Oryctolagus cuniculus: one gene and its partner. The main gene of each other region encodes a partner of the protein of the gene in region 2 in a complex. Links are inferred from orthologs where the notes say so. Each region holds a gene or a part of one and is shown on either strand. Other genes may lie near its edges. The genes, in order: RNASEH2C and RNASEH2A.

Evidence for each region.
Region 1: the proteins of RNASEH2A (region 2) and RNASEH2C are in contact, whole or in part, in a crystal structure (PDB 3PUF), measured with the Homo sapiens proteins. The link is inferred for Oryctolagus cuniculus from reciprocal best matches to the Homo sapiens genes RNASEH2A and RNASEH2C. Residues at the interface, in NP_006388.2 of Homo sapiens: Thr11, Asn99, Ser102, Thr103, Leu106, Gly107, Arg108, Val109, Val196, Glu197, Lys198, Leu199, Glu225, Pro226, Val227, Phe228, Gly229, Phe230, Pro231, Gln232, Phe236, Leu245, Ala249, Glu250, Asp251, Val252, Ile253, Trp254, Glu255, Asp256; in NP_115569.2 of Homo sapiens: Pro33, Cys34, Glu35, Val36, Ala37, Val38, Ala42, Pro43, Val44, Gly45, Arg46, Phe47, Phe48, Pro50, Ala51, Arg53, Ser62, Phe63, Arg64, Gly65, Arg66, Cys67, Leu68, Leu134, Glu135, Thr136, Lys143, Gly146, Ala147, Thr149.

Annotation. Positions count from the first base shown.
Region 1 is NC_091432.1:5,998,408-6,002,721, reverse strand, and holds RNASEH2C (ribonuclease H2 subunit C), read right to left. Parts: upstream 2,948-4,314; 5' UTR 2,687-2,947; coding exon 2,515-2,686; intron 2,366-2,514; coding exon 2,217-2,365; intron 2,144-2,216; coding exon 2,024-2,143; intron 1,920-2,023; coding exon 1,893-1,919; 3' UTR 1,633-1,892; coding exon of another isoform or gene 1,176-1,632; 3' UTR 1,099-1,175; coding exon of another isoform or gene 939-1,098; 3' UTR 645-938; downstream 1-644. Other genes in the region: histone acetyltransferase KAT5, read left to right, coding at 939-1,098, 1,176-1,632.
Region 2 is NC_091447.1:62,322,164-62,326,676, forward strand, and holds the end of RNASEH2A (ribonuclease H2 subunit A), read left to right. Parts: intron 1-1,633; coding exon 1,634-1,771; intron 1,772-2,197; coding exon 2,198-2,285; intron 2,286-3,414; coding exon 3,415-3,538; intron 3,539-3,675; coding exon 3,676-3,814; 3' UTR 3,815-3,881; downstream 3,882-4,513. UniProt on the Homo sapiens protein: Catalytic subunit of RNase HII, an endonuclease that specifically degrades the RNA of RNA:DNA hybrids. Participates in DNA replication, possibly by mediating the removal of lagging-strand Okazaki fragment RNA primers during DNA replication.

The DNA of each region.
Region 1 (4,314 bases), on a different chromosome or scaffold from region 2:
AGCTCAGCCAAGGGGGTCGGCCAGGAACCAAGCTGGGGTTCGCCGAGGTCTCACACTCCAGGGTGACTGCTCCCACCCCATCTTGGCCAGGGCCCCAAACCTCAGCCCACTCTCCCAGATCTGGCTGACCTGCTGCTGCCCACGGCTGTGGCATGAACCCGCACAGCTGAGCAGGAACCCAAGGGTGCCCACCCCCTCCGTGGTCCTTGCAGGCACAGCAGGTCAGGGTGGACGCTGGGACTGGCCAGTGTGCAGCAGGGGCAGGAGAGCAGACAAGCGCGACCGGCCCAGGGCCTTGCCCCTCGGGGTCTGGTGGGGCCAAAGGGGCTTGCGAGGAGCTAACTTCTCGTGGTCAGCTGGAGGAGGGCAGGGGCAGGGAGGCCTCTCTCCAGCTGGGAAGCGCTTGGTGAAGCTCCTTCCTCACCACCACGCAGCCCGCTCCATCCCAGAGCAGCTGGCGAGCCCGAGGTCCCAGCCAGAATGTGACGGACAGAGGGCGGGGTCTGCCCTGCCTCCCTCTGCACCCACACAGCAACGGCCAAGGACATGGGCACCCCCCCAGCCTCGGCTGACTGCAGGTGCCCCCCCCAGCACCCAGGCCAAGGGCGAGCGCCTTCAGGTGGTGGGCAGAGAAGCCACGTGGCTCTAATTCTTAAATGCTTTTCATTTTATTTGAAAGGCAGAGACAGGTCTGGTCAGGGGTTCACTCCCCAGTTGCCCACAGCAGGCAGGGCCGGGCCAGGCTGAAGCCAGCAGCCTGGAGCTCCGCAGGGCCCCACTGGGCGGCAGGGCCCCAGGTCCCTGGTCCGCCTGCACTGCCAGGCTGCAGGTTAGCGGGTGGAGCAGTGGGCGTCCGGCCCGGCCCCCTGCTGCAGGATGTGCCCGCTGCGATGCCACTGTCTGACCGCTTACCCACCTCTCCTGCTCCCCTGCTCCAGGCTATGAGCTCTCCAAGGTGGAAGGGAGAACGGGGACCCCAGAGAAGCCCCTGTCGGACCTGGGCCTGCTGTCCTATCGCAGTTACTGGTCCCAGACCATCCTGGAGATCCTGATGGGGCTCAAGTCCGAGAGTGGGGAGCGGCCGCAGATCACCATCAAGTGAGCCGGCCGCCCCCGGGGGTGCGTGGCTGTCCCCGCCCCGGGCCGCGGGAGACCTGACCTTTGCCCTCCCGCAGTGAGATCAGCGAGATCACCAGCATCAAGAAGGAGGACGTCATCTCCACGCTGCAGTACCTCAACCTCATCAACTACTACAAGGTGGGGCGGGCGGCCAGGGCCGGGCAGTCGGGAAGCCGGTGCGGGCCGGGCGCTGACCCCTGCCGGGCCCTCTCTCGCCCAGGGCCAGTACATCCTCACGCTGTCCGAGGACATCGTGGACGGACACGAGCGGGCAATGCTGAAGCGGCTGCTGCGCATCGACTCCAAGTGTCTGCACTTCACCCCCAAGGACTGGAGCAAGCGGGGGAAGTGGTGACCGGGCCTCCGGGCGCGGGGCCGGCGAGCACGGGACCCGGCGCCCCCAGCAGGCACAGCGCGCGAGGCGCGCAGGGCAGCGCCAGACGGGGCTGGGCCCGCAGGGGCCACGGGTCAGTGCCCAGGCCCGCCGAGGGCTCGGGTCAGCGCCCAGGCTGAGCTGGCTGCGGGCCCGGCCTGCCCTGACCAGGGACCAGGAGGAGCCGGGCGGCTTGTGCAGTGCGCAGGGGCTGGGGGCAACTGTACAGGACACTTTCACTGTAAAAATGGCTTTTGTAAAGTAGAAGGTGGGGGTGGGGTGGCCCTGGCTGCGGCCCCCGCACCAGGCAATAAATCGTTTCCGTAGGCGGAGCCTCCAGGGTTCTGCACAGCTGCGGTGCGGGGCGTACTGGTCGGCAGGTGGGGACGGGCTCCGGCTCTCAGTCCTCCGCCACCTGAGCGTGAATCTGCAAGAGGAGCCGCCTGTAACCGTGCGGGGGCCCGGCCGCCCCCACTGACCCCGTCCGGCGTGGGGGGCCCCGCGCCGCAGCGACCCCGCCCGTGCACTCACCGCGGCCGCGAGGCTCGGCCAAGTCAGGGCCCCGCGCACTTTGGCGTCCGGGCCCGGCACGGTCTCCAGGCCCCACAGCGTGAAGCGGCCGAAGCTGGCGGTGGCGCCCAGAAAGCGGTCCTGGGGAGGGAGGGAGGGAGGCGGCTCAGCCCGGCCCCGCCGCCGCGCCCGCCCCGGGCCCGCCGTGGCTCACCAAGTCCCGCTCCAGCGGCGCCCGCTCCGCGTCCCCGGACCCCGGCCGCCCGTCTGCCTTCTCGGCCGCCAGGACGTAGCCCGCGAAGCCGGCCGGCACCGCCACCTCCTCGCCCCGCAGGCCGCGTCCCCGAAACGACGCCTGGAGTCCTGCAGGAGGGAGGCGCAGGGCCCGCTCAGGGACACCCGGGCCCGGCGCAGCTGGCCCACGACCCCGCCGCCCCCGCCGCCGGGACTAGGGCTCCAGGCGCCCTCGCAGCGCGCGCCGGGGAGCCGCGGGGAGGCGGCCGCCAGCTCACCGTCGGGGCCTCGGCGGACGGCGGGCGTGAAGAAGCGACGCACGGGGGCGGGCCGGCTCGCCAGGACCTCGCAGGGCAGCAGGTGCAGCGTGCCGGGGGCCGCGCCGCGCAGGGAGTCGGGGCGCAGGTGCACGCGGTGCCCCTCCACGGCCGCCTCGCCCGCGCCCTCCATTCCGCGCCGCTAGTCCGTCGCTCGCGGGCGGAGGCCGAAGCTGGCGCGTAAAGCGCGCGGGGCCTCTCGGGAGGTCGGGCGCCGCGGAGCGTCACGGGAAATGTAGTCCTTCCGGGATCCCGCCCGCAAGCCCCGCCCCTCCGCGGAAAGTCCCGGGTGGTTCAGTCACGCAACAGGGCGGGCTCTGCGGGCAAACACGCGCGCACGCGACCGGCCGTGTGCGCGGCGCCCCCGCGGGACCCGCGAGCTGGCCGTGGAGAGTAACAGAAGCGGCGCCCCAGGGCAGCGGCTGTGGCGGCGGGGACCGGGCCGCGCCGCAGCGTTCCCGCAGCGATGGGGCCGCCCGCCGTGGCCCTGTCCGCGCGGGGCCGTGGGCCTCACCCCGCCTGGGGGAGGCCCTGCTTGGGCTGTGTCCGGGACGCCGACACCCGCGGTGCGTGATGGAGCGGCCGCTGCCGCCGCCTCTGGGCCCGCCGCGTTCTAGATTCGTCGTGCAAACCGCAGACGCACGCGGGAGACGCCCACGCGCCTGCGCAATCGGACCCTGCGGGCACAAGCGGTGCGCTCGCAGACGGGGCGGCTGTGGGGCGTGCAGAGCGGGCGCTGGAAAATGGAAGTGAAGATGAGGGGTCAGGGCCGCGGATAAGGCGGCCGCCCGCAGTGCCGCATCCCGCGTGGGCGCCGGTTCGAGTCCCGGCTGCTCCGCTTCCAGTCCGGCTCCCTGTTGATGCGCTGGGACCGCAGTGGAGATGACACAAGTGCCGGGCCCTGCACCCGCGTGAGAGACCTGGAAGAAGCCCCTGGCTTCAAATGCAGCCATTTGGGGAGTGAACCAGCGGATGGAAGTCTCTCTCTCTCTCTGCCTCGCCCTGCCTGTGACTCTGATTTTCAAAAACAAAGGTTATTCCTGGTGCAGCTTTGAAACCCATGCATTTTCTTTTCATAATACACATTTCCATGACCTTTTAAAGAACGCGGCCCCTGTCCCCAGGGGCCAGATACTTACTAATTTTTTTTTTTGATAAATTATTTTGCTGTTCCCAATAGTTTATTTTCTTGGTTTCCCCCAGTTAGTCATCTCTCTCTCAAATACAGATAACTGTGCTGCTTCGTTCCATCTTGCAATTTCTTTTCTTTTTTAAAAGATTTATTTATTTTTACTTGAAAGAGTTACACACACACACACACACACACGGGTCTTCCGTCCGCTGGGTCACTCCCCAATGGTCTCAATGGCCAGAGCTGGGCTGATCTGGAGCCAGGAGCTCTTCCGGGTCTCCCACACGGGTGCAGGGGCCCAGGGACTTGGACCATCTACTGCTTTCCCAGGCCACAGCAGAGAGATGCATCGGAAGTGGAGCAGCCGGGACTTGAACCAGTGCCCATGTGGGATGGCGGCACTGCAGGCGGCAGCTTTAACCTGGGCCGCAGCACCGGCCCAGGGTTTCTTTTTAAATCGGGAACAGATCGTTGGATCTGTCTTGATAGCTTTGGTCCTGTTAGGTTCCCGCTGCCTGGGTTCTGTGATGTCACGTTCATGGGCCTCTGCATTTTGGTGAATCAGGAAGTGGGTCTAGAAGTTCCGCTGGGCTCCTCGGGAGGGCGCGCTGCAGCGAGACTGGGGGCGT
Region 2 (4,513 bases):
CCCCCCAGCTCCACTCTTTTTTTTTTTTTTTTTTTTTTGGACAGGCAGAGTTAGAGAGAGAGACAGAGAGAAAGGTCTTCCTTTGCTGTTGGTTCACCCTCCAATGGCCGCTGCGGCCAGCGCACTGTGCTGATCCAAAGCCAGGAGCCAGGTGCTTCTCCTGGTCTCCCATGGGGTGCAGGGGCCCAAGCACTTGGGCCATCCTCCACTGCCTTCCTGGGCCACAGCAGAGAGCTGGCCTGGAAGAGGGGCAACCGGGACAGAATCTGGCGCCCCAACCGGGACTAAAACCCAGTGTGCCGGCGCCGCAGGCAGAGGATTAGCCTAGTGAGCCGCGGCGCCGGCCACCACTCTTGAGTTTGGCTTCCTGCTACTGCAGGCCCTGGGAGGCAGCGGTACCAGTTGAAGCGACTGGGTCCCTGGCCCCCATGTGGGACATCCTGGTTGCATTCTGTGTTCCCAGCATCAGCCCTGCCCAGTCCTGGCCAGTGTGGGCAGCTGGAGAGTGAACCAGTCCTTGGGAGCATGTTCCCATGTTTCTCTCTCTGTCTCTGTCTCTCAGGTGCACCTGTATCAGTTTCCAGCCAGGTTCCTGTCCTTAGCAGGTGCCCCATGCCCACACAGTCCAGCCCCCATCCCCCAAGCTCCGTGTCCTGGACCCATCCCGCCTCCGTGCACCGTGCACAGCCTCTAACATGGCTCAGGGCATTGCCTCCTCCGCCTCTCTCTCCCCTCCCCCACCCTGGACACCTGCCCTGTTTCCTTGGTTCCTCCCCCCCCCCCCCAGACTCCAAACCCCTCCCCTGGAGCCTGCTCCCCACGCAGCAGAAGGTTTGCCTTTGCAAAATGTAAATCTCGACATTCAATTTCACCAGCCCGGTGGCACCAATTCACGCAGCCTCGGTAGGGGTGGGGGTGGGGGTGGGGGTGAGGGGAGAAGAAAAGAATGAGATAAAATTACGGTCACGGCCGTCTCGACGCTTGCTCCAGGGCAGAGCGCAGGCTGTTGGGAGAGAACAAGAGGGAGGTGGGCTCAAACCGGCACTGAGAGAGGTGTTGCCAGCATGGTTAGGGTCTGTTTATCCTGCTGTGCCCCAGCACCCGCCACAGCCAGGGTAATCTCTGGACTCAGGAAGTGCTGGGGCCGGTGGCTGGCACTGTGGGCTAGGCAGCTGACCCGGCATCCCCTGGAACAGAGCTGATTCGAACCCTGACTGGCCAGCTTCCAATCCAGCTCCCTGCTAATGCCCCTGGGAGGCAGCAGGTGAAGGGGTCAAGGTACTCCGGCCCCTGCCTCCCGCATGGGAGACTCGGATGGAGTTCTGGGCTCTTGGCTTCAGTCGTGGCCAGAGCAGCCTTTTGGGGAGTGAATCAGCGGACGAAAATCCCTCTCTCTCTCTCTCTCTCTCTCTCTCTCTCTCTCTGGCTGGCACTCAATTAAGTAAATCAATCAATCAATCAGAACAAAAACCAACAAGGGCTTGAGCCAATGAGGGAAAGTGTCTTTGGGCGGTGCCCCCTCCCATGGAGGAGTGTGCCCCCTTAGCCGCAGCAGGTGCCAAGGGCCGCGGGAGGCGGGGCCGGGGGTCGCTGCGCCCGAGGGTCACCGAGTGGAATCCGCATTCCGGGGCAGGTGTTTGTGGACACCGTGGGGCTGCCGGAGACGTACCAGAAGCGGCTGCAGGACTGCTTTCCAGGCATTGAGGTGACGGTGAAGGCCAAGGCGGACGCCCTCTACCCGGTGGTCAGCGCCGCCAGCATCTGTGCCAAGGTGGTGCCCTGCCCCGCCTCAGCCATGCCCCGCCCCGCCCCAGCTCTCAGCGGGCCCTGCCCCCAGCTCCACCCCACCCCACCGTGCCCCGCCCCAGCTCTCAGCATGCCCCGCCCCCATACCTGCCCACCCCACCCCTAGCTCTCAGCTGCCCCATCCTCAGCTCCACCCCACCCCAGCTCCCAGAGGGCCCCCCCAGGCCCTGCCCCCAACCCAGCTCAGCTTCCCTGTGTCCCATCCCTAGCTCCCACTGTGCCTGTCCCAGCCCTGCCCCACCCCACCCACAGCCCTGCCCTGCCTCCGCCCTGCCCACAGCCCCACCCTGCCCGGGCCAGCGGGTGGGGTTCCTGGCTTGCAGGCCCGCAGAGGCTGGAGGTGCCAGGACCACACACACACACACACACACACACCCCACTCGCCCCACAGGTGGCCCGCGATCAGGCTGTGAGGGACTGGAGGTTCGTCGAAGAGCTTCAGGACCTGGATACCGATTACGGCTCAGGCTACCCCAATGGTGAGCGGCTGTTCCTGGGACCGTGGTTAGGATCGAGGCAGGGGCCACGGCCAGGGCTGAGCAGGCCCCTAAGGTCTTCCAGATGTCCTGGCTCACCCTGGTCCACGGTGGGAGAAGCGGGGTCCCAGGCAGCCCCAGGCACTTGGAGGGGCAGAGTGGGAACCCACCCCTCCCTCCTGCATTTCTCCTCCTTGGTCACTGGGTGCTTCCCATTGTGAAAGGTAGAATGGCGGAGAGAGGGAGAGGGAGATCCCCAGATGGCCGCAACGGGCAGGACCAGGCCAGGCCACAGCCAGGAGCCAGGAACTCCATCTGGGGCTCCTCCCACATGGGGGCAGGGATCCAAGCACCTGAGCTATCTCAGGAGACCTTCCCAGGGGCATTAGCAGGGAGCTGAACTGCTTCACTCCCCAAATGCCTGCTATGACTGGGGCTGGGTCCCGGGCCCCACCAGAGCTCTGAGCCTGGAACTCAGCCTGGGTCTGTGTGGGCAGCTTCGATGCTGTCGTGACCGCCAGGCCCCCCGCCTACTCTGTCCCTCCCACTTGTCCCCCAAGCCAGAATGAGCCGGGCTGGCTCCTTCCCAGGGGCCTCAGCTTTGATTTCTTTGTTGTTACTACAACTCGGGGCTCAGTGTTCCTGTCTGCAGAATGGGAACGCTCCATCGTGCACGCCCGAAGCTACTTGCACACACACACACACACACACACAGCAGATGGAAGATTCCAGGTTCAAGGAAGGCTCTGAGCTTTGGAAACCCGGGAAGGGGGCTGGCCGCTGGGTGAGGCTGTGATTGGAGCTCAGATGAGGCTGAGAACAATCGTGGCAACATTCCTTGTTTTTGGAGTTTCTATCCCTGCTGGGCAGGCCTGAGCCCCGGGCCGGGAGGGGCGGGGGGTACAGCAGCCAGCAAGACGAAACACATGTCTGTCTGTCATCCACCGAGCTGGTGGCGGTGCACTGGAGGCTGGGGGGGTGCCGGTTTTACCGTGGTCGGCCCTGGGGGTCCTGGGGAAGTAGCTCCCAAGGTCCCCAGGCCAGGGAGGTGTCCTTAGGATGCCACGAGGAGGAGCTTGGATGTCGCCGTGCCGGCCAGGCTTGTCACCACGGCTCTCCCCCTCCCCACCAGATCCCAAGACGAAAGCGTGGTTGAAGAAGTACGTGGAGCCGGTGTTCGGCTTCCCCCAGTTCGTGCGATTCAGCTGGCGCACGGCCCAGACCATCTTGGAGAAGGAGGCGGAAGGCGTAACGTGGTGGGTGTCCCTCGGTGCTACGGAGAGGGAGGGCGCGGGGCTGGGCCTGGAACTGGCCTGGGAGGCCCGCTCTTCCCCCCACCCCCACGCCACCCCTTGCCGGCAGCGGTCAGTGTGGCCAGCTCTGTCCCCTCCAGGGAGGACACGCCCACCGAGGACCAGGATGGAGCCGGAAGGATCACGTCCTACTTCCTCCACGAAGGCCCCCGAGCCCGCCCCCGCCTCCCCCACCGATACTTCCAGGAGCGGGGCTTGGAGGCAGCCAGCACCCTCTAGAAGGCAGCCCTTAATCTGCCTCTCCCCGCCACCGCCCTCCACACTGAGTAAAGTTGTCTAAGAATAACCAAGCCTCGTGGTTGTGCTCTGGGGGCGGAGGCAGGGGTAGGAGCCTGCCCGTGTGTGGTCCCGGGCACTTCTGCCTTTCGGAACCTAAACAGAACGAGACGTGGGTCCATTTGCTTTCCTTTTTCAATAGGTTCTCTTCCTCTGCTTATGCAAATGGCGGAGCGGTGTGGGCTAGGGGGAGCCTCGTACATCTCCTGGCTTGCACCAGGGAGCCGTTGTCAGCTGACCTGCGTGAGCCCTCCAGGCCCGGCTGGGTCACACCGAGGCAGGAAATCGCACTTTGAGATGCCCCTGTCATTACGTCCCGCGTGACTGACCCTGACGTGTTCCAAGACTCTGATTTGAAGGCAGAGTCACAGAGAGGCCCTCTACCCGCCACCCAGTTCACTCCCCACACAGTTGCTCGCAACTGCTGCAGCTGGGCCAGGCCAAAGCCAGGAGCCAGGTGCTCCCTCCCTGGAGTCCCCAACATGGGTGGCAAGGACCTGAGCTCTCAGGCCGTCTCCTGATGCTCTCCCAGCACACAGCACGGGCAGAGCATCGCATGTGGGGGCCCGACATGTGGGCCCAGAGCAGCAGTGTGTCGTTAGGATGCCCACGAGCCTCTGGGGAGGACCTCGGTTCAGGTCC